7 linked regions of the Rattus norvegicus genome follow. The protein of the gene in region 4 purifies or fractionates together with the protein of the main gene of each other region. This does not show direct contact. Links are inferred from orthologs where the notes say so. Each region holds a gene or a part of one and is shown on either strand. Other genes may lie near its edges. The genes, in order: Stx8, Cip2a, C7h19orf25, Slc30a4, Pds5a, Mettl9 and Pds5b.

Region 1 (4,194 bases), on a different chromosome or scaffold from region 4:
GGTCTTAAACCTTTGAGAGTTCTACTTTAGTGGGGGGGAAAGAGGGAGAGGGAGGGGGAGAGAGGGAGAGGGAGAGGGAGGGGGAGAGAGGGAGAGGGAGAGGGAGAGGGGAGAGGGGAGAGGGAGAGGGAGAGGGAGAGGGAGAGGGAGAGGGAGAGGGAGAGGGAGAGGGAGAGGGAGAGGGAGAGGGAGAGGGAGAGAGAGAGAGAGAGAGAGAGAGACCCTTACTCATACTCCTACCGAGTTAGACTCATTTGGTCTCTGAATATGGAGCTGTTACACCCACACCAATTCCCTAGGCTCGGGAATCCTGGGGGCGGTGGTGCCTGGCCAGACTTTTACCACTATCCCCACTGCCTCTCAGGCGCTACCAAGTCAGCGTCTCACTGTCCCTGAGTAACAAGTCAAGGTTGCTCTAGGCCTCACCATTGAAGCCGATCACAGCCTGAAGCTCCAGTTCGGCTACGTCGGTCTCGGGTAAAATTTGTTCTTCCATCCTGGAGAGTTTCAGCTGGTTGATTCCTCAACTCCAGGGTGCAGCGTCTCCTAGTCGTTATGGTAACTGGAGCACGCATGCGTGCTAGGTTTACGCCAGAGCAGAAACCCAGCCCACTGAGTTTAAGTTGATTTTCCCCTCTTGCAAATGTAGGGAGGACTTCCTTATTATGTATTTTATTCATTCTGGAAATGTAGGTGGTAGGTTGATACTGGGTACGCAAGGTAAATATCCTCCTCTCCGTGTAAAGGTCTGTGACTTTTTTTAAACTATAAAATTAAGCCCCTCATGATGATTATTAAAAATAATTGAACACAGAAAAACTGAGCACAGAGAATTGCCTGTGATGAATAGGTTGCTTAAAAAAAGCATGGAATTGCTACTTCCTTGTAAAGAAAAAAATTGTTTTAAAAGACACTAAAAACGTTTTAGTATAGTATGCAAGTGTGTGTGTGTGTGTGTGTGTGTGTGTGTGTGTGTGTGTGTGTATGTTGCCTCTATGTATATTTCCTGCGTCAGCCATCCAAGTGCTGGAATTCCGGGCTTGAGTTATCACACCCGGCTTGTTTTTGCTGTTTTGAATTAAGAAAAAAAGCATGCAGAGCCGGGGTTGAAGCGCTTCCATTCCCTGGAAAAATGGTTTGATTCTTTTCAGCAATGTAACCATTTTCCTTTCCTCCAGCAATTCATGTAAATTAACAAAAATCGATTCTTGCAACCCACTGTCCCCTAGGGGTGCGCTTTGGGGCGTAGTTCTGAGGTCAATAAAACAGGTTTCACTTTGCAAACTCTGGGCTCCGGTGGCGCACCCTCCAAACTGCGGAGAATGAGCCGCGCGGGCCGCCGTAGTCAGCTGCTACGAGCAGGAAGTGTCCCAGCTGCAGGCGGAGACTGCACCATGGCCCCAGACCCCTGGTGAGTTGCCGGTGATGGCGGTGATGGCAGCAGTGTATGGGGATTAACTTGGGGGGTGGAACTGGCTTCCAGGGACTGGCAGAAACCCTGGTCATCGTTGAGCTTGAGGCTGGCGGCTTTAGGGATGAGGATCGGGCGAGGATCCTCCTTGTTGAGGGGACTCAGCCATGTACTGCCTACTCGGTGCTAACTCTGTGGTCCCAGGGGAGACTCTGACCTGGGGGAGCTGGGACTTGAGTAATCGAGTAATTTGCCCCCTTTTTTATGGGGCTTCCTGCCTATCCTGCTTGTGGCTGACTGCATGCGTAGACTTCCCTGGGCTCCTGTAAAAGTGAAGTCGATATAACCTTTCGGTGGGATATTCCTTCACCCATTAATCCCCCTGCAGGAAGGGAATAAACTGAAGTTCACACTCCATGGTCACCAGTTAGTTAGTAGCTAGTTGGGCACGGGTGTTATGGGCTCTTCACAAAAAACTTGTAGGACTCTGAGAGGGAAATTTTGCACTTGTAATAAGCCCTTTCCTGCATCAGGAGCATGAAGACTTATGTGAGTAAGAAGTGGTGTAGAAAATACCTAATAGGGATCATTTATTTAGCAAAGAAGCCCCAAGGAGAGAATGATGAAAAAATATCTATACAAGGAACAAATTGCTATAAAGTCATGACCTTCCTGATTAACAATTTATTACACTGCATTTCTGTAAAGTCTGTGTTGGAGAATATGCCTTATGTTGGTGTTTCTGGTACAATTTATAATTGTTTGATGGCAGACAGTTTTGAATATGAAGAGAGTGGATCCCAAGGTCAGGCTCAGAGTTACCTGGAATCTAGGCTATTTGGGCCAGTAGCTGAATTGTTTGTTGTTTGTTTTTCAGTGTCTCAGTGAGTTTAGGTTGATCTTGAATTCCTGATCCTCTTGCCTCAGTCTCCGAAGTGGTGGCATTACAGGACTCTGCCACCATGCCCAGCCAATTGCTGAATTTTCCCATAAGGTTTTGACAATCGTATACACCCCTGATAGAAGTTTAGAGACTACTGAGTATCTGAAGGAAAAAAGATAGCACCTTCATCACTTGGAAACAATCAGTGCTCACTTTTTTTTCCAGTGCACTTATTGTTTGAATTTATATCCTGCTTGTATTTTACAAAACAGGAAGCATTTCTCCATGCCCTTAAGTAGTCTTAAAACCATGATTTTTAATGCACATCAGTGCATTGTCTGGGTGTGCATAACTTATTTCAAATTTGAGCTCAGTGGTAGAATAATTGTTTACCACATCCAAGACCCTGGGTATGGTCCCCAGCAGGACAAGAAAGCTTTCAGCTGTCAAATGAGAAAGCCACTGTGACAAACAAGACTAACAGCAAAAGAGTTGCTTGAGTGTCTTGGGTAAAATTCTCCTGATCTCATTAGATTCCCGTGCCACGCTCTGCAGAGAACTGATGTCCGCTATTTTGTACCTTCCATGTGGCAGAACATGCCAGGCATGTTTTCTTCTCTCATCTTTGCTTATGCCGTGTGCCTTCCACAGTGTTTAGATTTCGCTTCTCCTTCCTATAGGGAAATCTGCTTTAGACTTTTTTAGAAGTCAGCCCAAAGTGTCCTCTTGCGGCCCAGCCTGTTTGAGTGCCTCATCAGTGATCTCTTCCTTCCTGGGCTCTATAGACACTCAAGTTAGGTCCCTTTCCTAATTGATGGGACTTGGTTAGGGGTTTATATGTTTGATGTGCTGTCACAGAGCTGGACTGAAGCTCCTGTCTTCATAGGTGATGGTGTGGAGACAATAAGTATGGGGAAGTTGGGGCTAGGATCATTTTTCTTATTACTCTGCTATATTATTATTAGTCTTTTTAAACCACCTGCTTTTTTTCATAAGCCTATACCAGATTATACTGATTCATACTGGTTCATACTGATGTATACGTGAGTCTAGGCTTAGGGGGTGACATTGCCTCTGAAGTGCTTGTGGAGTTCACAACACAAAGTTCTCTGTATAGGACCTGGAGCCATAGCCCCAGCCCGAGCTACACACTTTGGTGACTGAGCCTAGTGCCTTGCATAAGCTAAACATTGATCTATGCCCTTACTCACCACCACCCCTTTCTTTTTGAAGTATGAGACTGATCACTAAGTTTTCCCCAAGCTGCTGAGGTTATAGGCTACTACTTCTAGTACTGGAATATTTTAGGGAAGTAAGTTACTTATCTTCTTATGGGTAGAACTGGGACATCCGGGCAAACAGCAGTTTTCAACATTTTGAAATGGACAGTCCTGGAAAATACATCATTCACATGAGCACAGGAGTCCCCGCTTGTAAGGAGCAGAGTGGCGTGCGAGATGAGACAGGAGATGAACATGCTGTGATAAGGAACACTCTGGGTGCTATTGGTGGTTGATTTGAAATTTTTTTCTAGAGATTTATTAATTTATTTTATGTATGTGAGTATACTGTCACTCTCTTCCAGAAGAGGGCATCGTATCACATTAAAGATAGTTGTGAGCCACCATTTGGTTGCTGGAAATTCAACTCAGGACCTCCAGAAGAGCAATCAGTGCTCTTAACTGCTGAGCCATCTCTCCAGCCCTGAATTTTAATTTTTAAAAGATTATTTATTTTAAGCATGTGGGTGTTTTGCCTGTATGCATGTCTGCACACCATGTGTTTGCCTGGTAACTTACAGAGGCTGGAAGAGGGTATGAGACAATTCTGAATTGCCACGTGGGACCTGAGAATTGAACCCAGGGCCACAGGAAGAGCAGCAGTGCTCTTAACCTCCGAG
Region 2 (3,500 bases), on a different chromosome or scaffold from region 4:
TTGAAGACCCAAACATAAGTGCTTCACTGATCTTAAGTATTATCAGTTTGCTGTCTCAACTGGGTAATGTATTCATGGTTTCTTTTTCTGAGTTTGGAAGACTATGAAAATATTTTTAAAAGCCAGATAGAATTATAGAATTTCTTAAAGAATGATTTACATTCAAAAGATTAATTGTAGAACCTTTTAGAGTTATTATTACAGATCTCTCAAAGTCCCTCCAGACAGACAGAATGATTGATAGATAGATAGAGATAGATAGATAGATAGATAGATAGATAGATAGATAGATAGATAGCAGATATATAGGCACATGTATATTATAGGCACATATAAATAATCATGTTTTAAAATTATTGGGTCAAAGAATCTGCCATATATCAAAGACTTTCAGGTTCCACGGAAAAGAATGCATTTGGGAAATGACATTCTATTGAATGTTAAAACAACCAGAAGCCACATGAACGTAGTGCCAATGTTAAGGAGATCAACTAGAAAGACATATCTACCAATCAGTTATTCTTCTGTGATAAACTACATTTAACTTAGAACTAAAGATAAACTATAGTAGCTTTTCTATTCCTTTTATGTTTCATTTTAAGTCCATCTATTAGTCATTCCCCCGTTGGTTTGTGTGTGTGCAGAGGTGTTGGATACTTTTATATATGGTTATAATATTCAGGTATGCTTAGTATTCAAGTTTTAGCAGAGATAGACATTGCATTGTTTAGCAGAACAATCAAAGTATTATTGATGATAAATATTCTGATTTTGTATTATCCTTTAAGCTTCTTAGCATTTGAAGTCTATGGAGCAGAATCTCATTCTAATTGATCTTAATTTAAATAATTGCATATTGACAAGTAGCTGTCATATTATACATCACAGATAAGAGTAAAATGGTGTTTTTTATTTATTTTTTTTTAAAGCTTTATTTATTTTATGAGTACATGTAGCTGTCTTCAGACACACCAGAAGAGGGCATCAGATCGCCATTACAGATGGTTGTGAGCCACCATGTGGTTGCTGGGAATTGAACTCAGGACCTCTGGAAGAGCAGTCAGTGCTCTTAACCGCTGAGCCATCTCTCCAGCCCCTGTTTTTTATTTGTTATCCCAGCCTTTCTTATCCTTTTTACCTTTAGGGATGCAATCTTAGTTAATGGCTTGATATGTATATTTCTAATTTAAATTAATTAAATTAATATTTTTTAAGTAGTAAGCTTTATATTTTAAGTATTTGGGTTCATAAAAGAACTTGAAATGATAATCTGACTGCCCATAGCATGTAACCCAGACTGAGCTGGAAGTCAAATTTCTCTTGCCTCAGCCTAAGTGTGATAATTATAGACATATATCACCAGCTATTACATTATTTTAAGAGCCAAGTTTCTATACATATGTAAAACAAGTTTTTTTCTTTGCTATTCTATGTAGAAAACATTTGTCCTTTGAAATTAGTGGGCATTAAATAAAAGAAGAAATCTGTCTTAACCACTGTGGTAACTTAATCCTGTAGCCTCGGCACCCCAGAGGCTGAAACAGGAAGAATTGCCATGAGTTCCAAGCCAGTCTGGGCAGAGTGACTCAAAACACCAAACTAAACAGCTAGCTCATGTGATATCAAGATAATATAACAAATTATTTTACTTTCGTTGAATGATTTCTACATGTAAGAGTGATATATTTTATGCCATTTTATTTTAACTTTCAGCTATAGATAATGAAACCCGAGACTGTCTTCAGAATATCTACAATCTGAATAGTGTGTTGTCGGGAGTGGTTTGTCGGAGCAGCACGTGCCACAATAATTCAGTGTTTTTACAGGTATACAAATCCTCACGTTCACTGTTACCTGGTCTCCCTTTTTTATCCTCAGACCAAAACTGCTAACACCTTTTACTGCTGTGTTACAGTTGACTTGATGACAGCGTGATCATATACAGTTCTTGTTAGATCTGGTTGGACACATACTCACTGTGTAAATATTTCTTGAGAAGGGAACAGAGGAGACCAGATCTGCATTATTACCACTTTAACTTAAAACTCACTTAAAAACAAAGATGTGTGCATTTTGAAGTGTGAACTATTCGTCTTAAAATTATAATTTGGGTTGGTATGTAGTCTCAGACTATTGAAGAAACATCATAACAAAATTTAGAGCTATGGTTTAGTCTTTGTTAGCATAATTTGAAAACTCTTGCACCCATCATTTTATTGAATCTAAAACGTGATCATCTGCAAGAGAAGGAAAACATGACCAATTAAACTGACATGCAGTTATAGAGATAACATATAGGAGGAAAAATAGATCCTCAAGCTAATTCAACCACAAGTTTTAATGTAAGTAAGGGAACAGGGTAGATGATTCTGGTCAGCTTTGGTTCCCACAGCCGAGCACTTAAAATGGTCCATCTGATGAGGGAAAAGATGTATTTATCCCATAGGTGGTTCAAGCCCATGCCATCTACATAACCATAGACCTGTCAAAGGCTTTTCTGGCAAGTGGGAAGGGTAGGATGTGATCATACCTCAGGTAAGGTCAGAGAGATACTGGGACCAGGTTTGTTCCTTTTAACACTTTGCACTCTTGAGAACTACGCACGGGGTCACATGGGAAATACATCATACCTCCAGTGACCTAAAAACCTCTAGTCAGGCCCTAACTGCCAGAGACCTGACACCTCCTATAATTCCCTCCTGAGGAACTAAGGTTAAATCACAGAACCCACCCTTCATGGACACAGTTAGGTGCCACTCAAACTGTACCAATGATAAGGCTTGAGAAAATATATGTAGAAACAGATAAACTAAGAATGACTTCCAAGGTTCTTAGGATATATATTTCAAATAAAATTAGAATTAGGAACTGGCCTGGTTCTTGTTCTATTTGGTTCCTCAAATGATGTGCTCAAATGTGTGCAGTAGTCCACTTTTATAAGTAGCCAATCTGTTTTCATGCGTTTGTTTACTCACAATTATTTTCTCAATTTCAGTGCATTCAACTGCTGCAGAGATTAACATATAATGTCAAATTCTTCCACTCTGGTGCCCATATAGATGACTTAATTACATTCTTGATTGGTCATATGTAAGTATGCAACAAAACATGTACTTAGATAATTTGTTGTCTTATTTTTAAACTGAAACTATGTGGTAGATATTTCTCCTTGAGTAATGTTGTCTAGCTTAAAAATAAAGATTTACTCACTTCTTTATGTGTATGTGTTGTACCTGAGAACGTATTTGTGATACACCATGTGTGCCTGTAGAGGACAAAAGAGAGCTCAGGCATTTGGAGCTGGAGTTATAGGCAGCTGTGTGCTGTCCAATGTGGGTGCTGAGAACAGAACTAGGGTCCTCTACAAGAGCAGTAAGTGCTCTTAACCTACCGAGCCATCTTACCAACCGTGCTTTCTTGTTTTTTAAACTAAGATCGCTGTTTGTTTACTCCACTTGGCTGATTTCAAGGGTTGAGTATATAAAGCAGGTTTAATTTTC
Region 3 (4,053 bases), on a different chromosome or scaffold from region 4:
ACCCTGATGTACAGTGTACACTTCTGCACCCTGATCTACAGTGTACACTCTGCACCCTGATCTACAGTGTACACTTCTGCACCCTGATCTACAGTGTACACTCTGCACCCTGATCTAGTGTACACTCTGTAACCTGATCTACAGTGTACACTCTGCACCCTGATCTACAGTGTACACTCTGTAACCTGATCTACAGTGTACACTCTGCACCCTGATCTACAGTGTACACTCTGCACCCTGATCTAGTGTACACTCTGTAACCTGATCTACAGTGTACACTCTGCACCCTGATCTACAGTGTACACTCTGTAACCTGATCTACAGTGTACACTCTGCACCCTGATCTACAGTGTACACTCTGTAACCTGATCTACAGTGTACACTCTGCACCCTGATCTACAGTGTACACTCTGTAACCTGATCTACAGTGTACACTTCTGCACCCTGATCTACAGTGTACACTTCTGTACATACTGACCCCGGAGGACGCCCAGCCTGGCTTCTGATTCTTTGTTCATATCTTTAATAAAGCGAGACATTTGGCTGCTCTGGAGTTTCATCTTTAACATGGGCTCCAGAGCGGGGAGGTTGTTCCAGAACCTTCCTTCTTCTGCAGCTGTTGTCCAACCCGAGAAGGCGATTCGGGGCTCCCGAGCTCCCCACTGACTGGACAACGTGTCAGGTCTCCACATGCTGGAGCCAAGGTTGATTGAGGGTCACCGGAGCTGTACTTGGCCATCAGCCACTGGTCACTTGTGGTGGAGGTGTCATGGTGGGAGTGGAGACCAGGAATCCAGGCTGCACCAGTCAGGGCAAGCCAGACCCTGTGGCCACCAGGAATGTCGAAGGTCAGGAATGACATGGCCCACAAGCTAAAACCATTTCTGACAAAACAGGTCCAGCCAGCTTGGGACCCAAGAAGGCCGGTGCGGTGCCAACACCCGAGTGGCCAAGGGGTGGCATGGATTTGGGCCCCCAGTGATCTAGTCCAGCTTAAGGGAGATCTGTGTTCAGGCATCAAACATCTTTCATCTTCAGAACTAAAGTCCGGCCACTCCAAGAGTGGTGGGTCTTCTGCAAGAAGACAAACCAAACCCTAGTCCAGAAGGGTCAATGTCCACCACACACAGGACTCCAGCCTTTGGGGGGCTCCTCTGGGACCCATGGCCTCCCCAGAATGAAAACCCCTTTGTTGAGTAGCCCCAGCCCTAGGAAGGGGGTAGCCAGACTACTCTGTCACCAAGCCAATAGTGGCTGACCTGCTGTGGATGTTGGGGACGGAGATCTTCACTGTCCAGGGTGACAGGGGGCAGGAAGAGCACATTGGTGGAAGACTGGTAACGATGGGGCAGACTGCCTCTGAGCCCTGACCTGCAGTCAAGTCCTAGATGCAATCTAGGCTGGTGTCCCCAAAACGAGGTGGCCATGTCCCCAAGTCCCATCACCGGTGAGAGGCCATTAAGGATGGAAGAGGGGACAAAGCCCCAAGCACGCGGAGTGGGCCACTGGGTCCCCCAAGGGTAGGGTTGGAGCAGTAAATGTTGACCCAGAGCTTCTGGTTGTCAGGTGCCCAGGCCTGGGCCAAGGACATCAGGTTTAACCTTGGCTCTAGGACGTGGCTGATGTCACCTGACTAATATCCTGTTCCAGCCTCTGACCAGCTTGCCGAAGGCCATCGAACTTCTGCCTCAGCGCATCCCCCGCCTGCCGCAGCCTCTCGTTCATAGCCACGTAGGTCCGGCTCTGTTGGTAGATCTGCTCCTGCTGGACCTCAGAGTCCTCAGCCCTTGGGAGTGGCTCTAGGGGGTCTGAAGAGAAGAAAACAGTGTGACCATCCATCAGTGATTCAAGGTCTTCCTTGGCCATGTGGTGAATCTGAGGGTAACATATACCTACCTAGACACTAGAAAATTAGTCAGTTTCAGACCTGAAAAAACCCAGGGTTTGGGGGTCACGGAGAGGACAGGTCCCCTCCAGCCACCCTGGCTTTGCTGTTCTACCCAGGACTGTCTGGGTTCCTGGATTCTAGGACCGGATTCACACAAATGGCCCTTACACGTACCATTCCCCCATTTCTTTGTAGGAGCAACTGGCCACGCCCCCTTGAGACATGGTCCTGAACTCACAGCAATCCTCCTGCCCTAGACCCCTGGGTTGGCTTAAATCACCAAGCTCGGCAGCACTTCGGCTTTATTTTTGATGATCCCATTTTGTAGGGGAAGAGAAGGACAGGGACAAAAAAGATAGGTCCCTAGGTGTCTGGCTGCAATCGGTTTGCTCCCCACTCGGGCTGGGACTCGGGACTCTTATGTTCTCCTACCTTCTGGGGCCAGGGCAGTAAAAACAGGATCTTGGGCGGGTGCCCCTCGCACGTCCTCCAGGATCTGCTCTACCGTGGGAGGCGCGGGGCGAGTGGGCAGCACCACGCGTTTCTTGGCCTTGGAGCTCATCTTGTAGGCGAAGCGCGCGCTAACGGGGTGCACTCTCGGCTTGGCCCTCTCACCCCGCGAACTCCTACGCACCCGTTACGGACCTGCGCCGAGCTCCCTGACCCTCCTCCTGGGACCTCGGAGTTTGGTTCGACCTCCGCGTCAGTATGCCGTAGAAAAACCCTGCTGCCTATCTTCGCTCCAAGAACTTAGGAAGCCGCCGCCACTTCCGCTTCCTCCTTGAGCGCCCCTACGTTCTAGCACTTCCGGTCCGCTCCAGCGCCACTCCTCGGGAAACCCCTCCCCCTTCTTAAAGAGCCCTAGGCTTAGATGCTCCTAGGCACAATCCAGTAAGATCAAAGGGAACTGTGCTTCTGTCACCACGTGTGGTAAGAGGCAAGGAGTGATTTTGAGTTCGTGTCTCCCTGGCCGAGCAGTAAATAGTAATCAGTGTCCAACCATTGCCAGGTACACAGTGGGCGCTCAATAAATGCTGGATGGAACCTAGCTGCAGGGTAAGGTATTCCTAGAGTCTTGTTTCCTTGTGGTAGAGCTTTAATCTCAGTACTCGGGAGGCAGAGGCAGGCAGACCTCTGTGAGTTCCAGGTCAGCTTGGTCTACACAGTGAGACCCTGTCTCAAAAGAGCAGTGTGTGTGTGTGTGTGTGTGTGTGTGTGTGTGTGTGTGTACACGGGGGATGGCGGTGAGCTAGCTTTCTGTTTATGGCTGTTCAGCACTTGGTGGATCCCCCTGCCAAGGGTCTCTGGGCTCAGAGCAGTCTTCCTTTGTGGTTCCTTATTCCTCCAGGGCCCCATGTCTCACCCTGAGCCCACCCTACCCTCAAGGATACCACAAACTCGACATCTTCTGTTTAACTTTATTTGCCAACTATGAGGTTAGACATGGGGATGGTTTGGAGACAGGGAAGGGGCAGGTGGTTGGTGGCTGTGGTCTGACCTCTTGTCTGCCATACCTGCTCCAAAAAGAGTGAGGAAACGTCTCTTCCACTGGGAGCAGCTGAGGCTGAGCTGCGGGCTGTCACGTGACCCATGCAGCTCTCTGCCGTGGCCTTCTGGGGCATATTCCTATCCCGGCCTGGGAGCAGGGCCTTGGGGTACCGGCCTTCTGTCCTGAGAGTGGGGCATCTCTGGCTCTCCAGGGGTATCCAGCCTGGGGAGAGGTGGGCCTTCCTCAAGATGAGGGGCCTTCCAAAGGCCCTGGTTAGCAGGGACAGCACCATGGCCCAAGACTGATAGCCAGGATGGCTGCCAGAGGTGACAAGCCTTGGAGGGGCTCTGAAGCACTCCCAGCATGAGGGGCAGGGAACAGGCAGTGTAGTCGCTGGTCAAGCTGCCGAGCAGGTGTGGTAGGAGGGTGACAGCTGTCCTGTCCCTTGGTCACTGGCTGCTGTGTGTGGCTGTAGAGCCACCACCACTGCTTGCTGGAGATGAGGCAGAGTTCTGCCACGATGGAGAGGGGACAATGACTTTCTGCAAAGGGACAAAATGGAAACACAGGGAGTGAGGCTGCAGCTGGTGGGAGCAGCCAGTGCCTGCCCGCCCATCCCGGCCGCTGCGCCTCCTCACCCAATAAGTGACCATGCGCTGCGGCCACTCACCCTGGC
Region 4 (3,500 bases):
AAAAACTCATAGAAAATTTAGAAAATGAGAAGCAATCATGGTAATGCATGCCTTATGTCAGTGTCTGGGAGGCAGAGCCAGGCAGATCTCTGAGTTCAAGGTCACCTTGTTCTCTATAGAGAGTTCTAGGCCATCCAGGGCTACATAGTGAGACTGTCTCAGCTAATCAATCAATCAATCATCAATTAACAATAGAAAATGAATCAAAATACTCTCCCAGAATAGAATAAAATTAATGATAGGAGAAAAAAGAAAATGTATGTGTGTGTTCATGTACATACATACATACAACACTCTGTGTTTGTTTCCCACTTATACACGGGAATATATTCCAAGATCCCTAGTAGATGCCTGAAATCACAGACTGTTCCAGACCCTAATACATATTGTCTTATGTTGCCACAACTAAATATCACAGAGTAAGTAATTTATAAAGCAAAAATGTATATTTACCTTGTGTTTCTGAAGACTGGAAAATTCAAGATCGAGAGGCTGCAGTTGTTGAGGTCTTTTTCATAGTCTCAAAGTAGTACTGAGGGTCACATGATAAGGAAGATGATCCTCATTCAGATCTCTTTTTCCTTTAAAGTCATAGTTTTATTGAAACAAGGCTCTGCCCTTAGCGTATCACTTAACACTACCACCCAGCCATCGGTTTAAAGTTCCACCCTCTTAATACCCCATAATGGAGATCAGCATGGGTTGTGGCGGGGACATTAAAGTCTAACATACACACACACCATACTTATTCCTATGCCATTAATTACACCATAGCTTCTAAATATCTTTTGTTCCTCTTTTCAGAGATTATTATCTGTATAACTATAAGCTAAGCTAATTTTTACTCTTTGGGTTGTTGCTAGTATGCACTTTCTAGAATTCTTCAGTGTCATTTCATGTTCAACCCTTCCTGAATAAAAGAAAGCATACCTTCTTTCTGCTTGGCTGTAATATTTAGATACTGTTGCTATTAACTCACTGTATTCATAGAATTAATAAGTTGAGCAAAAGTCGCATCCTGCTTTTGTTTTTACCACCAACTTAATGGTTAACCTCATGAAGTAATGAACACTTTGAAGACCCTGTTAATAGAAATGGGTTTTTTTCACCAGAAATTTGTGCAGTGGTCCTTCCATACCTACAGATTCCATGTCCACAGGTGCTACACCTGTGTTTCAGTTGGAAAATATTTGAAATATATGTTTATATAGAATGTATACATAATTGTTTTCTTATAGTATTTTCCTAAATAGTGCAGTGCAATAATTACATTGTATTAGATGGTATCAGTAATCTGGAAATAATGTAAATTATGTATAGGTTTATATGTACAGGCTGTGTGTGCAAATATGGTATTTTATATAAGATATTTGAACATGCACAGATTTTGATACAATTTTCTGGAACACTTCTCATATAAATTAAAGGATATGACATCTATACTATTTTTCATGAAACTTTAGAATACCTTGATTTAGTTGTATCAGGATAGAAATTTAGTTAGCAGGGTTTTTTTTGTTTTTTGTTTTTTTTTGTAGGATGTTACACATTTTGAGTTTGATGGCTTACTTTTTGTAGTTACTCTTCCTTCCCTTTCTCCCAGGTGGATACATGGCAAATAGCTTAGCAATAATGACAGATGCACTTCATATGCTAACTGACCTTAGTGCCATCATACTCACTCTTCTTGCTTTGTGGCTGTCTTCAAAGTCACCAACCAGAAGATTCACCTTTGGATTTCATCGCCTAGGTAGGTAATTTAAGTTTATTTGATTTACAATATCTTAATGGAAAGCCATAATGAACTATGACCCCGATTAACTGAAATATTTAAGGTAATAATGGTTTTGAACAAAGAAATGAAAATAAATAATGAGACTTACCCAAAAAGCTATCTTCCATGGAAAACCCCGCTAGGCCTCACTAAATAGTTTGTACAGAATTATGTGGTTATAGTTACTCTTCAAATGTCTCGTGTGCCTGAGTATGCCATAACAAGGAGGCTTACTTCCAGTTTACTGACCTGAGCAAAACTAATTGAGTGACTCATTAATAAGCATTCACTGCTTCTTTTACTTTAAAATTTTCAACTGAAGCCCATTTTAAACATTTCATCATATGTTCAACATATGCTATGTGACTGCACTGTATCAATGTAATTCAGCAAATGCATCCATAATATTTCATTTAAAGACTTTTAAAAATCTATATTATTGCCTACATAGCTCTGATTCTTACTGTTGCTGTGACTTTAAACTTACTCTAAAAATACATAAAATAACTATTTGAACTATTATCTGACAGGCCATATCTGTAGATCATAGATTTGAAAAGTTCAGCACTTGATAATGCACATTAAAGAATTGAGATAAAAATGATATTCTTTGGCTTTTTTTTTTTTACACACTCAAGATTCTAGTCCCCTCCCGGCCCACCTCCTACTGTTCCACATCCCAAACCCCCCCTCCACTATGATGTCTCCACCCCACCCACCCCAACAGACCTCTAAACTCCCTGGGGCCTCCAGTCTCTTGAGGGTTAGATGCATTTTCTCTGACTGAACCCAAACCCCAGAGTCCTCTGCTGTATATGTGTTGGGGGCCTCATATCAGCTAGTGTATGCTGCCTGGTGGATGATCCAGTGTCTGAGAGATCTCGGGGGTCCAAGTTAATTGAGACTGCTGTTCTTTTACACCCTCCTCCTCAGCTTCCTCCAGCTTTCCCTAATTCAACTACAGGGGTCAGCATTTTCTGTTGATTGGTTGGGTGCAAATATCTGCAACTGGATATTGCCTTGAGAATCTACTAAGAAAGCAGAAAATAGGGCTAGAGTTATTAAAAATTGGCACTTTATCAATGAACCAAATCAAACACTATCTGTAGTAGTAAATATCAGCCTGGTTTAATTGCAGTTGTCATGTTCTGTTGTGTAGATCGCTTTGCTCTTAGAAATAACATTTTTCTGGGGCTGAAGAGATGTCTCAAGAGTGCATACTATTCTTTTTAATTTTTATTTTTAAATAACAGTATTCTTTGATTTTTAAGACTTACTTATTTTTATGTTATGTTTATAGGCATTTTGTCTGCATGTATGTTTGTGCACCACTTACATGCCTGGTACCCAGGGAGGCCAGAGAGAGCATCGGATCCTCTGGACCTGGAGTTACAGACAGTTATGTGCCACCGTGTGGGTAGTGGAAATTGAACCTGGCTCCCCTGGAAGAGCAGCCTGTTCTCTTAATTCCTGTGCCATCTCTCCAGTCCTATATGTGTGGCTCTTCCAGGGGAATTTAGTTCCCAGCACCCACAAGAGCAGCTAACAGCTGCCTGCAATTTCAGTGTCAAGGTGAAGAGCTGCCTCTGGTCTTAACAGTCATCTACACTCACACACACACACACACACACACACACACACACACACACACACACACACACACACACACACACACACTCTTAGAGTTTATTGATGGTAGCCTTTTAATTGATGTTTTAAACACCTG
Region 5 (4,213 bases), on a different chromosome or scaffold from region 4:
TGGCGCCAAACGGATGGCGGCGCTGTCCACCAGGCGCGCGGCCGCGTCGGGTTCGAGGGAGGCGGGAGCTCGGCCGGCGGAAGAAGGGGCGGGAGCGAGGTGCGCGGTGCTCTCGCGGGCTCTCGCGCCGCTCGCGTGACGGGCTCTGGGTGTGCGCGACGCTCCGGCTCCGCGGGGCACGGGCAGCCGGGAGCGCGCCGCGGCGAGAGGGCGTCTGGTGCGGGTGGGCGCGAGGTGCGGGCGGGCGCGGGGGACGCGCGGGCGTGCACCCGCGCGCGGGCTCTCGGAGGAGCCGCGGCCGAGGCTGCGCTTCCTCAGCCCGACGGAGAGCGGCAGTGTCGCCCCGGCCGGCGCACGCTCGGCCCGCGTCTCCCCCCGCGGCGGCTGCTCCTCGGCACCGCCAGCCCCAGCGCCGCTCCGGGGCGGGCGGGCGGCGGCGGCGGCGGCGGCGGGACCCACGGAGCCGCTTTGTGTGCAGCCCGACGAGGGGCGGCGGCGGCGGCGCAACCACCTGACAGAGGCCCGGCGCTCGCTGCACCGTCCGTCCGCATGAGGAGGAGGTAAAGCGGCGGCCGGGCTCGCGCCCTCGGCGGCGGCGAGGGAGGGACGGAAGGGGAGACCGCAGGGGAGGGCGCGCGCTGAGGCCCGGCGGGGTTGCCCGGAGCCGTGGCTCAGGCCTCGGCGGTGCAGAGTAGCGCCGGGCGACCGAGAGGCTTGAGACGCCGCCGGGCTCGGTTGCTGAAGTTACGGAACAAAATGTGAAGTGCGGAGCCGGGTCCTCCGCTTCCTGGCTCGGGGCTCGGGCCGCGGGCGGCTGGCGGGGGTGGCCGGCTGGCCGGAGAGGGACGGCCGCGCGGCGGGGACGCCGGGGGCCCAGGGCTGGGCACGGCCACGGCGTTCTGCTCCTGGGCGCCGACGCCGCGCGTGGGTCCTCTTGGGTACCTAGTTTTGCGGCCTAAGCTGAACCCTCTAGGCCTCGAGTCTCCTTTCCCGGAGGTGACCGGCCAGGCGGGGACCGGGCCGCTTCTCCTGAGCCGAGCTGGGGCCGTTGGGTCCGAGCTGACCCCCGGAGGCCACCAAACTTCCGACCTAGGTGCTCGGGGGTACATTTCATTGTGAAAAGAGGGCTAGGAAACTCCGGGAGCTGCTCGGCGCCTCTCGCGGCCGGGGTTGCTGCAGCCGAGAACCCCGTGGCACCCGGGCTGGCGCGGGTGGGGGTGGCGGACGCCTGCGGGGTCCGAACCCTGGGAAGGAGCGAGTGACGGGGTCCCTGGCCTCGGGGGGAAGAAAGGGCCCTTTCCAGATTAGAGATTTTTGAAATGAAAAAGAGGTTACAAAGTCGCCCCTTTCCCGCTGAACTTTGATTTTCTGACCGATAGAGGCCGGTAGAGGACTGTGAAAGAAAAGTTATCCCCCAGGATGGACTTCACGCAGCCGAAGCCTGCCACGGCCCTCTGTGGCGTCGTGAGTGCGGACGGGAAGATCGCTTACCCTCCGGGAGTAAAAGAGATCACGGACAAGATCACCACCGACGAAATGATCAAACGTTTGAAGGTAAGGGTCTGGGTCGATATTCTTCTGTGCTCTGGATGGCTTTTGTGACTCATGTGGTTTCATTTGACTACTCAACCTGGCCTTTGGAGTTTTTAGTACTAAGTTTTTAAAGATATCTTCACCGTCCCGGAAAAGTATTGTTCAAACTTGGCGATATCTTTGGATAAGTTCTGAAAAGACATAGTAGCATGGGAAATTTAAAGAGTGTGATCATTTTTCTGTTCTGTTTATTGCGCATAAGAACACATGGTTTAGTTGCTTCCCTTTGGTTATTTTTTCTTTAATGAATATTGTTTAAGCAACTCATACCCTTAGGTGTAGTGATTTACCCACGAAAGTTCCTATTTTCATCGGCTCCAAAAAAGACTGATTTGAGCACAAGCAGCCATATTTTTTCTCCCTTAGATTCTCATGATTTCCTAATGTCTGGAAGCCTAACTATACATGGGCTAAACTTCATACAATGTACAGATTTTTCAGAATTTGAGCTTAAAGAGAAATGGTGATTTTATTTTAGAACCCAAGAAAGTTGAGGACTGGATTGTTGATATTCTGTGAGGTTTGTTTGTTTGTTTATTGTCGGCAATCTTAACAGTCATTTTGGTTGTCACAGTTGGCTTGGGTGGAGTAGGGAGACGATGAGGCAGAGCCCTGTAAGGAGCTATCAGTAGTCTGTGAAAGATCTTAAACTATTGGAAGTAGGGCATTGGCAGTGGGGAGACAAAGAATGGCTCAGGTGACTTGTTTGAAAGAGGACATGTAACCTAGCTATTCTTGAACTTAACAGTCTTCCTGCCTCCACTTCCAAAACACTAGAGCTGTAACCATGCCCTGCTAACAACAGTGGTTCTCAACCTGTGGGTCAGGACCCCTTTCCCACAGGTTAACTGTCTGATATCCTGTATGATTCATAACAGTAGCAAAATTATAGTTATGAAGTAGCAATGGAATTATTTTGTTAGAGGTCACCACAACATGAGGCAACCTTAGGAAGGTTGAGAACCATTATGCTAAAAGGCACACTTCAAAGTTAAAGTCAAATGTGGTGGAAGGCTAGGCAGGAAACATTGTTGACAGTGTTTCTGCCTTATGCAACTTTGTAAAATGTATTTTTAGGGCCTGATCTTAGAATTGAGCATAGTACCTAGTAAATATTATGTGTTTAAAGTGTTTCTGTGGGGCTGGGGATTTAGCTCAGTGGTAGAGCGCTTACCTAGGAAGCGCAAGGCCCTGGGTTCGGTCCCCAGCTCCGAAAAAAAGAACCAAAAAAAAAAAAAAAGTGTTTCTGTGTTTTAGTTTCTATTTGTTGGTCTTTTGAAAGACCTAGCTTCTTTAATTAAAAGGCATCTTCTCTGTTTTCCTTCCATTCCTTTTTCTGGGTGTGGAGGTGGGGACACGTGCAGGCAGTGCTCTATCACTGAGCTATACCTCAGTCTAAAGCAGAGAAATCTTTCTGTTGCTTTCAAGACAGGGTCTGGCCTAAAACTTGCTCAGTAGATAAAGCTGGTCTCAACTTCTCTCTGTTCTCTGAAGAACTTTGAAGTGTTGGGAATATAGACATGTGCCACCAGGTTCAACTAAAGCCTTTTTTAAAAAAATGTGAGACTATTTTGTGTGTGTGTGTGTGTGTGTGTGTGTGTGTGTGTGCGTGCATGAATGTTTATGTGTAGGTATGTAGGCACTGAAGCTGGTCTTTGCTACTTTGTGGGTTCTTTTTCCCCACCCTTTATCCCCCCAGTTTTACCCCATCACTAGAGGGAAGAGAGAGATAGAGGCCCCTGAATCTAATTTAATGTCTTCTTCTTTCTTTGAGCATGGCTACTAACAAACTGCAACCAAGCTTCCTAAAGGACCAACAACCACTTGACTCCTCCTCTCAGGGTCCTAGCATTTATATACCCGCTGAAAAGTTCCCAGAATTCCATATACAGACACAGAAACTATCTGCAGCTAGCAAAACCATGCCTCTTGTCAGCTGCTGTGAAGCAGCCCTGTATCCTTACACCTAGAATTAAAATGAAAACATATTCTTATAACATTTCTGTGCTTTTTTAAAAAAGCAAACCTCCAGAATTCTCATACAAGGTCTTTTGTGTATGTTCCTGGAGGGCAGAGGACAGTCTTGGGTATTGCCCTCACTTCCTTTGAGACAAGGTTTCTGGTTGGCCTAGAGTTCACCTGTTAGGTTGGGCGAGCCTCCAGACCCCTCCTGCTGAGATTGCAGTTGTCTGCACCACATGGAGCACAAGTGCTGGGAATTGGGGCTCAAACTCAGGACCTCAAACTCAGGACCTCATACTTAGGAGGCAAACACTAGTCACTTAGCTCTTTCTCCAGCTCTCTGAAGTGTATCTTACTACTTAAAGAGTATTAATATTTCCCAAGATTATATTGTGTATTTTGAGTAAGAATCCAAACTAAGAAATAAAGCTGATCAATAAAATTAGCATGCATGTCTATGTGTGTTTGTCTTGTGCATCCCCCACCTTGGGTGTTGTTTTGGAGGGAGAGGAGTCTTCTCTGTAGCTCTTGCTGTCCTGGAACCCATTATGTAGTTCAGAGTGTCTTCCTCTGCCTTCTGAGTGCTGGGACCTACCCCAACTTTGAGACAGGGTCTTACTGTTTAACTCAGGCCAGTCTTGAACTCACAGCCCTTTTT
Region 6 (3,500 bases), on a different chromosome or scaffold from region 4:
AGAAAGTTTGTAACTTTAGTGTAGAAATCTCTGCCCTGAGAGTGGTTCCTTCATACACCTACAGAAAATACTTCATAAATATTATTTATCTATAAATATTATTTATCACTTCTTAGTTGAATTTTTAAACATAGGCAAGGCCTAGAATGGAGAAAGCCAAATTTTGGCAACTGGTCATGGTACTTAACAGGCCTCTTGTGCTCTTCTTTTCTTTCCTCTTGAGGCTTGAATCTAGTTTTTGCTAAATGTCTGGATCCCCAGTCATCATCTGGTCCTTAAATATGTTTTCAGGCACCATAAGCCATCCCTCAGGATTTCTTACTTGATTTTCATCCTTATTTAAATGAGCTTGGCGTATGTTTGCTTCAGTAAACATTTGTTATTTTGTATTGGAAATTGAGTTTATGTAATTTAGGTTGATGTTTTATTCCTAAAATTGGTTGTATTGAATTTCTGTTCTTTGCCATTATTCTTTCTTCAGACATCAGGTGAGTCACCCCGGCAGAGATTTTTTATGAAGGATTCTCTACCTCTTTGAGTAATAAAAGGTGGGAATCTTTTCTTTAGAAAGTACTTACATTCAGTACTTTATATGATTGTCAGTTTCAAACTAAATTACTTCCCTTCTACCTGTTGGAAGAAACTCATTTAAGACTCCTTGCTCTAGAGTATAGTAGTTTGATCAAAGAGGCAATATAATTAGTAAGTACTGTTGGCTTCCCTTATAACCCTGCCTCTACCCTTTTGTTTTGATGGAGCCTTGATATATTGCCCAAATTGACCTCAAACTCCTGCTCTCCTGAACTCAGTGATATACACCTCTTGCATACTGTATGCCTTGCTTATTCTACTTTTTATTGTATGTGAGCCTGTGTGTGTATGCATGTGTGCGGGTGCATGTACCTGTGCACGTGTCAGGGCATATTAAGGGCAGTAGATAAATTGTGGGGATTGGTTTTCTCCTACCATGTGGGTTGGGATTGCATTTAGGCAGTCAGACTTAGTACCTCTGTCCACTGAACCATCTTACTGCCTCTCCTCCCTTGTTAAACTTAGTGCTTCTGCCTGCCTGCCTTCTTGCCCTGTTTTAATCCAGTTCAAAACAGAACTGGGAACTCAGTAACTCAGTTTTGAACCCAGAGATATTTTCTACTATGTTAACTCACTACAATAGAAATAACTACATAGTTACGATGAAACCTTTTTGAGCTCAGATACTTACCAAATTTCTTCCTGGAAGAAAGAAGGCTAAGTAAAGTGAGTTGTTTTTTATTCTTTGATTTTGTTTTTATATAGGGTCTTGTTATATGTCTTTGGCTGGTCTTGAATTTGTGGCAATATTCCTGCCTATACCTCCTGATTGCTGGGGTAACAGGCATGTGCCACCACCTCCAGTTTAAAAATATTTCCTTTCTTCTTTAAAAAAATTGTGGTACTGGGAATTTTACTGCCTGGTACAATTGAGGCAAGGACTCTATCTACCATAAAGCTATATCCCTGGAGAGACTTGATAGCTTTGTTCATCTTATTGTATAAGGAGGAGACATACTTCCTCTGTAGAGTTAGATCCAGAGAGACTTGACTAGAGAACCTAGGATGATTATGAAAGACTAGAGGCAGCGGAGACCATTCTGACTATATGATATGTTTCCAAAACCTTGACATCATATTAGGATTCCATATGTACTCGGATGATTCTGTTGTGCGAGGTAAACATTGTAGGAAGTTTAGTTTTTCAGATCTTGCTGAACTTCTTGAAGGGCAGAGTTGTTTTTGGTTAACTAACTGGACTTGTAGATTTTGACTCTGACACTTTTTTATGGAGCCCCCATTGCGCATGTTCTTTGCAAATAAGGCAGTATTTTCCTCATTTCTTTTTGGTACCTTTAAATGTAGATTTTGGTGAGTTAACTTTGTGGGCTCTGACCTCAGGTGATTCCCAGCTTTATAATTTTATAGTATCATGTCAGGGTTCTTCACATCCCAAGGAGATGGCTTGGGAAGCATGTTTTATTATAGCTCGGAAAGTTTTTGGTAAAATATTTTATGACTTAACTTGGATCTGTGGCATGAAGTCAGCATCAGGCTGTCTGGAGCCCTTCTGCTTGACTTATGAGCAATGTTATGAGTTATGTGTCTTATGAGATAAAACTTTCTTTGGTAAGAAGTTGTGGTTCTTAGCAACATGCTTAGCTGTCTCTGGGCTCTTTTTGGTTCCTACTCTCTGGTCTCAGCATTGTGTGAGGCAGAAGACTTACTGTAAATACATCATTAGATTTTGTTAACTCTCTGTGGTTTTAATGGCAAAAGAAGAGAGGGAATTTAGTACATCATCTCCATGCCTTTTAGTGTTGGTGACGCTGGTCCTATGGTAAGCATCTTGTTACAAGCATCTTGATAGTCATTAAACAGTAAACCTCTTTTACATTCTGAGTATTCCCAGAGTGACAGAATGATGTACACTTCCCTGCTTCTCGTGCCAGTGCTTTTGCCGTGTGTTTTCCAGGATCTGGGGAGGAGTTGCCTCAGAAACTGCTTCAGGTTGCAGAGAAAATCTTAAAAGCAGGCTGCTGGCAGCTGCAGGCACTCAGCCTCACTGCAGTGTAATAGCTCCTTGCATTTGTGCTGTTTGAGTTTTTTACTTCATTTGAAGAAAGGTGGTTTGGCTTAATGGAGAAAACCAGGATTTGGGAGCAAGAAGGGAGTAGGGAGTGTGCCTCTTTATGGCTTGCTTGGGCTGTACCTGCTTTTCTGAGGGAGGGCTCCTTTAGGCCCCATATAACCTTGACCAGCCTCTTTTTACTTTATTTTTTCAGTCAGTATTATCAGCTTGAAGTGTTTTAGGACCTTTAATAAAGTACAGGTCTCAGCTAACTATAAACCAACCAGAGTATGGACCCACTTCCATGTCATCCAGCTGATCTCACAACCGTTGCTCTTTTCCTCTTTTAAAGCATTTTAAATCCATTTTTAGGCATCTTAAGACTCTTTTATACAGAGTTACTTTTCCTATCACTGTTGTTGAGTCCATCTTCCTAAAGGCCTGCTTGGCTCCTCTGCCTGGTGCTGCCGTCTGGCTGGGGTAGTCTGCCGTCTCTGCCATCCCTCCACCTTTTCTTTGTGAATTTGTTTTTTGGCCACGAAAGATAAACTTTTTAAGTTGTATAATAATTTCACAAAGTCAGAAAACCTCGGTGCTGTTTTCTCTGTGTACGTAGACGTTCTTAGAGTCATAGATTTCATCTCCTGTCCTTCTTCCCCCAGGTTGCTAGGAAGAGGCTCCATGTTTGTGTTCTCACCAGATCAGTTTCAGAGACTGCTTAAAATTAATCCGGACTGGAAAACCCATAGACTTCTTGATTTAGGTGCTGGAGATGGAGAAGTCACGAAAATCATGAGCCCTCATTTTGAAGAAATTTATGCCACTGAACTTTCTGAAACAATGATCTGGCAGCTCCAGAAGAAGAAATACAGGTACCAGTTCTAGAGGTGTGCTGGGA
Region 7 (3,500 bases), on a different chromosome or scaffold from region 4:
GCAGAATCTCCTGAGACTAGTGCAGTTGAATCCACACAGTCCACACCACAGAAAGGACGGGGAAGACCATCAAAAACGCCATCACCATCACAACCCAAAAAAAATATGTAAGTTGTAAATAATATTAAATTTCAAACCAATTTCAAATTATTTTGCAAACTTTATAAGTTTATAAGCATATTTATTGCTGTATTTAAATTCCAAATATTTTGTCCAAATATTATTCAAATATAAGATATTTTTATAAACTTATCTAGGGAATTAACAGCCCAATTAATATTTGTACATTTTTATAGGTCTAGAGAAGTCTTTATAAATGAATGCCAAATAGTTATGTAGTCTTATGGTGTACACACGTGCTGTTTCCCAGTAGTCACTATGCCTCAGCCAGGTTTCCTCATAGCTGCAGGCTACAGCTCCTCTCAGTCATTCCCCTAGTGAACTTTCGGCACTGGCATCTTTGCGTCCTTATGCTTACTTATGCAAATGCATTAACAGGAGAGGCAGAGCTTTGAGTCTGCCCAAGTCACCAGCACAGCACAAGCACCAGCGCTGCGAGCTGCACAGCAGACAGGGGCGTCTCCCGTTAGAAAGTACAGCCAGAGCATCATGTCCTGTTAGTCAGAAATGCCGTCTTCTCCTACGCATGCTCACTGTGTAGCTGTAACCAGTACTTGGCTTTCAAAACATTAGTGCAGAGTTGGCACCAAAATAGGAGGTCATCGTTGGGTACCTTTAAAATCAAGTATAATTACATCATCTTGGTAATGGTTCTATCAAGCCCTGATCGTATACTTGCCTTTCTTTAGTTTCCGCACATCTCAGCTAAGTACTTGGGTACCATAGAGTTTTTCCTGTTCCTGTGTGCTCCATAGGAAAAGGAAAAGTTGCCCGAGTGTCTGCTAGTGCCTAACTCCATGTAATTTCTCTATAATGTTAGAAGTACAGGTAAGTACCTTATCATGACAGCTTCCTGACTGCTGGATCCAACGAGCAAGAAACTACTGTAGTCAATATTTAAAATATCTCATCTTTGTAATTCTTTTAATATCTGGGCATCATAAACTTAAGGGCTTTAAGTGGTTATGATTTCCCCCTCAAGTTTCATAAGGTCTTTCCATGAACCTTCAGAACCAAAGTACATTTTTTTTCAGCATAGAAGGATACTTTTTACCTTGTCAGACTGTTTTCAATTTTCTAGACAGTTGTTTTCCAGATCTGGAATAATATGTCATAATTTGTGTGCTTTTTGTGTTCTAACTGTAATGTAGTTGAGAACACTGTCACCCATGTCGTTCTCTGTGGTGGCACATCACAGAGCCAGTTCTTATCCTCACGAGACTTGCTCTGCAGTGGACAGGCGGGCACTAAGGAGAAACACACGAATAGGAAGCTATGACTCGGATGTTTATCTTGAAATATGTAGGGCATCTTAAGAGAATATAGTGGAAAGAAGTTGGGGGAATTTTCTTTCTGGAATGTGACAGTGAATTAACTATTGAAACTAATAGAAGAGATGGGATGAGATGACTCACTGGGTAAAGACTGTTCCTGCCATGTCTTACTGCCTGAGTTCAATCCCCAGTACCCACATGGCAGGAGAAAGAACCAGTTCCCTGAATGCCCTGTGACTTCCACAGGCTGTCTGTGGCACATGTGTGTTCACACAGTATATAAATACAAAACAAGTAGGAGGGAGGAGGGAGAGAATGCTGTAGGCAAAGTTTCTGAAGTGGGGAGATTTTGGTAAATCCAAGGAACTGCAAAAGGCAAAAAGGTTCAGTAGATTGTCACAGTGAGGAACAGGCAGGCAGGCCAGGACCGGAAGGGACTTACAGGTTCATTCTTGGTGCAGTGCAGGGGTTTGTCTGGGGTGATGGCGTCTGTTCTGTTTTCAGAGGATCACTGTAAGGAAAGGGCAGGTGCTAGGAATGCATGGTGCCAGCAGTGTCAGGGAAGCTGGGTGCATCTGTGTGCTGGATTTGGATTCTCTCTGCAGTCCAATGCGCTCGCTGTTCTCAGCTCAGAGGATGCTCGCTTTGAGGCTTAGTGAAGACTGTGATAAGGAGGAAAGATGAGGCAGATGCTGGCTTCAGGTTGTTGTGAAGTCCTTTATGGTGATAGGCTGGGTGACACCTTTTTTCCTTTTCTAGAAACTGTAAGATCCTAAGAGTAATGCTTATGGGTCAAGATGAAAATTTATTTCTCATCTCATGACATAATTGAGAATAAAAATGACCAAAATTCATAAACTATTTAAGACATTTCTTATAGTGAATTAACACACAACTTAACATCGGGATTCTCATTTTATTTTCTGTGTTTTCCTTTAGCCGTGTAGGACGCTCCAAACAGGTAGCTACTAAAGAAAACGATTCAAGTGAAGAAATGGATGTGCTTCAGGCCAGCTCTCCTGTCAGCGACGACACTACGCAGGAAGGAGCAGAAGAGGAGGATATTTCTGCAGGAAATGTATGTCCTTTTTGAAGTGTCACATATGTGGTATTACAAAATGCAAAAACTGAGCCAGTAAATATTTAGTCAGCTCCATTATAACACTTGCTGTTGTCGATAATTCTAGACATTTATGCCTTTGTAGATTAGTTCGCTGTGTTATTTTACTTACCAGCTAGGATAATGAAGAAACAGCGTTGAGGGGAGCTTGAACTGAGAATGATGGGGATTGCGATGTCTAGAGAATGTGTCAGCTGAGTGCAGAGGAGTCCAACAAGTTTCTCGCTGCCAGTCTCGGCATGGGAACCCCTGAAGTACTGTGTATTTGTACTCATGGATGTCTTTGACGTTTCTGTTCTGAGTCTCCTGATAGAAACCAGAAGAAGCCCCACTGAGTAAAAGTGAACCTTAAAGTCCAGTGAGCCTTTGGGATTGAGTTGTAAACGGCCTTTCTGTGGCTGGCAGTGCTGCTGCTTTTACAGAAGTAGGAGCTGGTACTTTTCCAGAGACTTCCTTCTTTTAAATAGCAGATGCTATTGCTAGCTATCTCATACTGTCTGTCTGTCTGTCTGTCCACCCACCCACATCCCAAGTGCTGTCCCTCCTCCTGGTCCCCTACCACATACTTCTTATTGAGGGGAAAATTAATCCAAATAGGAACTGTGTTCCTGATACATTAGTGCTAAAATTTTAGATCAGCCCAGTCAGTTCTTTTCATTTTGGAGACTTGAGTTGTTTGGTCGGTTCCCAGTGTTAGACTCTGGGCCAGTTCTGTTTCACGTGGTTCAGTGGTTCCATCCCGAGGGTTTGTGTAGATGAGTCTCCACAAAATCATCTCAAAGCAGGTCAGCTTTGTTTCTTAAGGACTTAGAGGAAGGGGGTTAGAACCTAAGATGAATCATTTGTAGTAATGGAGAACAGCTGATTATCAGGTCCATTCACGCAAAGCCCTGCTCCTTTTCCTTCTGCTGGTTTATCCTGACCATGTTTTGAGTCAGAGTTTTAAGCTTCCTGTAGGCCTTGCTAGTAAACGGTAGTATGATTAA

The links.
Region 1: the proteins of Slc30a4 (region 4) and Stx8 purify together in Homo sapiens (co-immunoprecipitation; 3 studies listed by BioGRID and IntAct, with this or other methods). This does not show direct contact. The link is inferred for Rattus norvegicus from reciprocal best matches to the Homo sapiens genes SLC30A4 and STX8.
Region 2: the proteins of Slc30a4 (region 4) and Cip2a purify together in Homo sapiens (affinity purification with mass spectrometry; 3 studies listed by BioGRID and IntAct, counting the BioPlex papers as one, with this or other methods). This does not show direct contact. The link is inferred for Rattus norvegicus from reciprocal best matches to the Homo sapiens genes SLC30A4 and CIP2A.
Region 3: the proteins of Slc30a4 (region 4) and C7h19orf25 purify together in Homo sapiens (affinity purification with mass spectrometry; 3 studies listed by BioGRID and IntAct, counting the BioPlex papers as one, with this or other methods). This does not show direct contact. The link is inferred for Rattus norvegicus from reciprocal best matches to the Homo sapiens genes SLC30A4 and C19orf25.
Region 5: the proteins of Slc30a4 (region 4) and Pds5a purify together in Homo sapiens (affinity purification with mass spectrometry; 3 studies listed by BioGRID and IntAct, counting the BioPlex papers as one, with this or other methods). This does not show direct contact. The link is inferred for Rattus norvegicus from reciprocal best matches to the Homo sapiens genes SLC30A4 and PDS5A.
Region 6: the proteins of Slc30a4 (region 4) and Mettl9 purify together in Homo sapiens (co-immunoprecipitation; 3 studies listed by BioGRID and IntAct, with this or other methods). This does not show direct contact. The link is inferred for Rattus norvegicus from reciprocal best matches to the Homo sapiens genes SLC30A4 and METTL9.
Region 7: the proteins of Slc30a4 (region 4) and Pds5b purify together in Homo sapiens (affinity purification with mass spectrometry; 3 studies listed by BioGRID and IntAct, counting the BioPlex papers as one, with this or other methods). This does not show direct contact. The link is inferred for Rattus norvegicus from reciprocal best matches to the Homo sapiens genes SLC30A4 and PDS5B.

The regions. Positions count from the first base shown.
Region 1 is NC_086028.1:53,153,300-53,157,493, forward strand, and holds the start of Stx8 (syntaxin-8), read left to right. Parts: upstream 1-1,394; coding exon 1,395-1,411; intron 1,412-4,194. Other genes in the region: Cfap52 (cilia- and flagella-associated protein 52), read right to left, coding at 427-496. UniProt on the Homo sapiens protein: Vesicle trafficking protein that functions in the early secretory pathway, possibly by mediating retrograde transport from cis-Golgi membranes to the ER.
Region 2 is NC_086029.1:65,279,415-65,282,914, reverse strand, and holds part of Cip2a (cellular inhibitor of PP2A), read left to right. Parts: coding exon 1-63; intron 64-1,713; coding exon 1,714-1,826; intron 1,827-2,995; coding exon 2,996-3,090; intron 3,091-3,500.
Region 3 is NC_086025.1:10,039,505-10,043,557, reverse strand, and holds C7h19orf25 (UPF0449 protein C19orf25 homolog), read right to left. Parts: upstream 2,630-4,053; 5' UTR 2,451-2,629; coding exon 2,321-2,450; intron 1,809-2,320; coding exon 1,609-1,808; 3' UTR 501-1,608; downstream 1-500.
Region 4 is NC_086021.1:130,218,889-130,222,388, reverse strand, and holds part of Slc30a4 (probable proton-coupled zinc antiporter SLC30A4), read left to right. Parts: intron 1-1,603; coding exon 1,604-1,750; intron 1,751-3,500. UniProt on the Homo sapiens protein: Probable proton-coupled zinc ion antiporter mediating zinc import from cytoplasm potentially into the endocytic compartment. Controls zinc deposition in milk.
Region 5 is NC_086032.1:42,904,920-42,909,132, forward strand, and holds the start of Pds5a (sister chromatid cohesion protein PDS5 homolog A), read left to right. Parts: upstream 1-1,413; 5' UTR 1,414-1,419; coding exon 1,420-1,554; intron 1,555-4,213. UniProt on the Homo sapiens protein: Probable regulator of sister chromatid cohesion in mitosis which may stabilize cohesin complex association with chromatin. May couple sister chromatid cohesion during mitosis to DNA replication.
Region 6 is NC_086019.1:185,026,316-185,029,815, forward strand, and holds part of Mettl9 (protein-L-histidine N-pros-methyltransferase precursor), read left to right. Parts: intron 1-3,264; coding exon 3,265-3,474; intron 3,475-3,500. UniProt on the Homo sapiens protein: Protein-histidine N-methyltransferase that specifically catalyzes 1-methylhistidine (pros-methylhistidine) methylation of target proteins.
Region 7 is NC_086030.1:5,174,442-5,177,941, forward strand, and holds part of Pds5b (sister chromatid cohesion protein PDS5 homolog B), read left to right. Parts: coding exon 1-107; intron 108-2,333; coding exon 2,334-2,472; intron 2,473-3,500. UniProt on the Homo sapiens protein: Regulator of sister chromatid cohesion in mitosis which may stabilize cohesin complex association with chromatin. May couple sister chromatid cohesion during mitosis to DNA replication.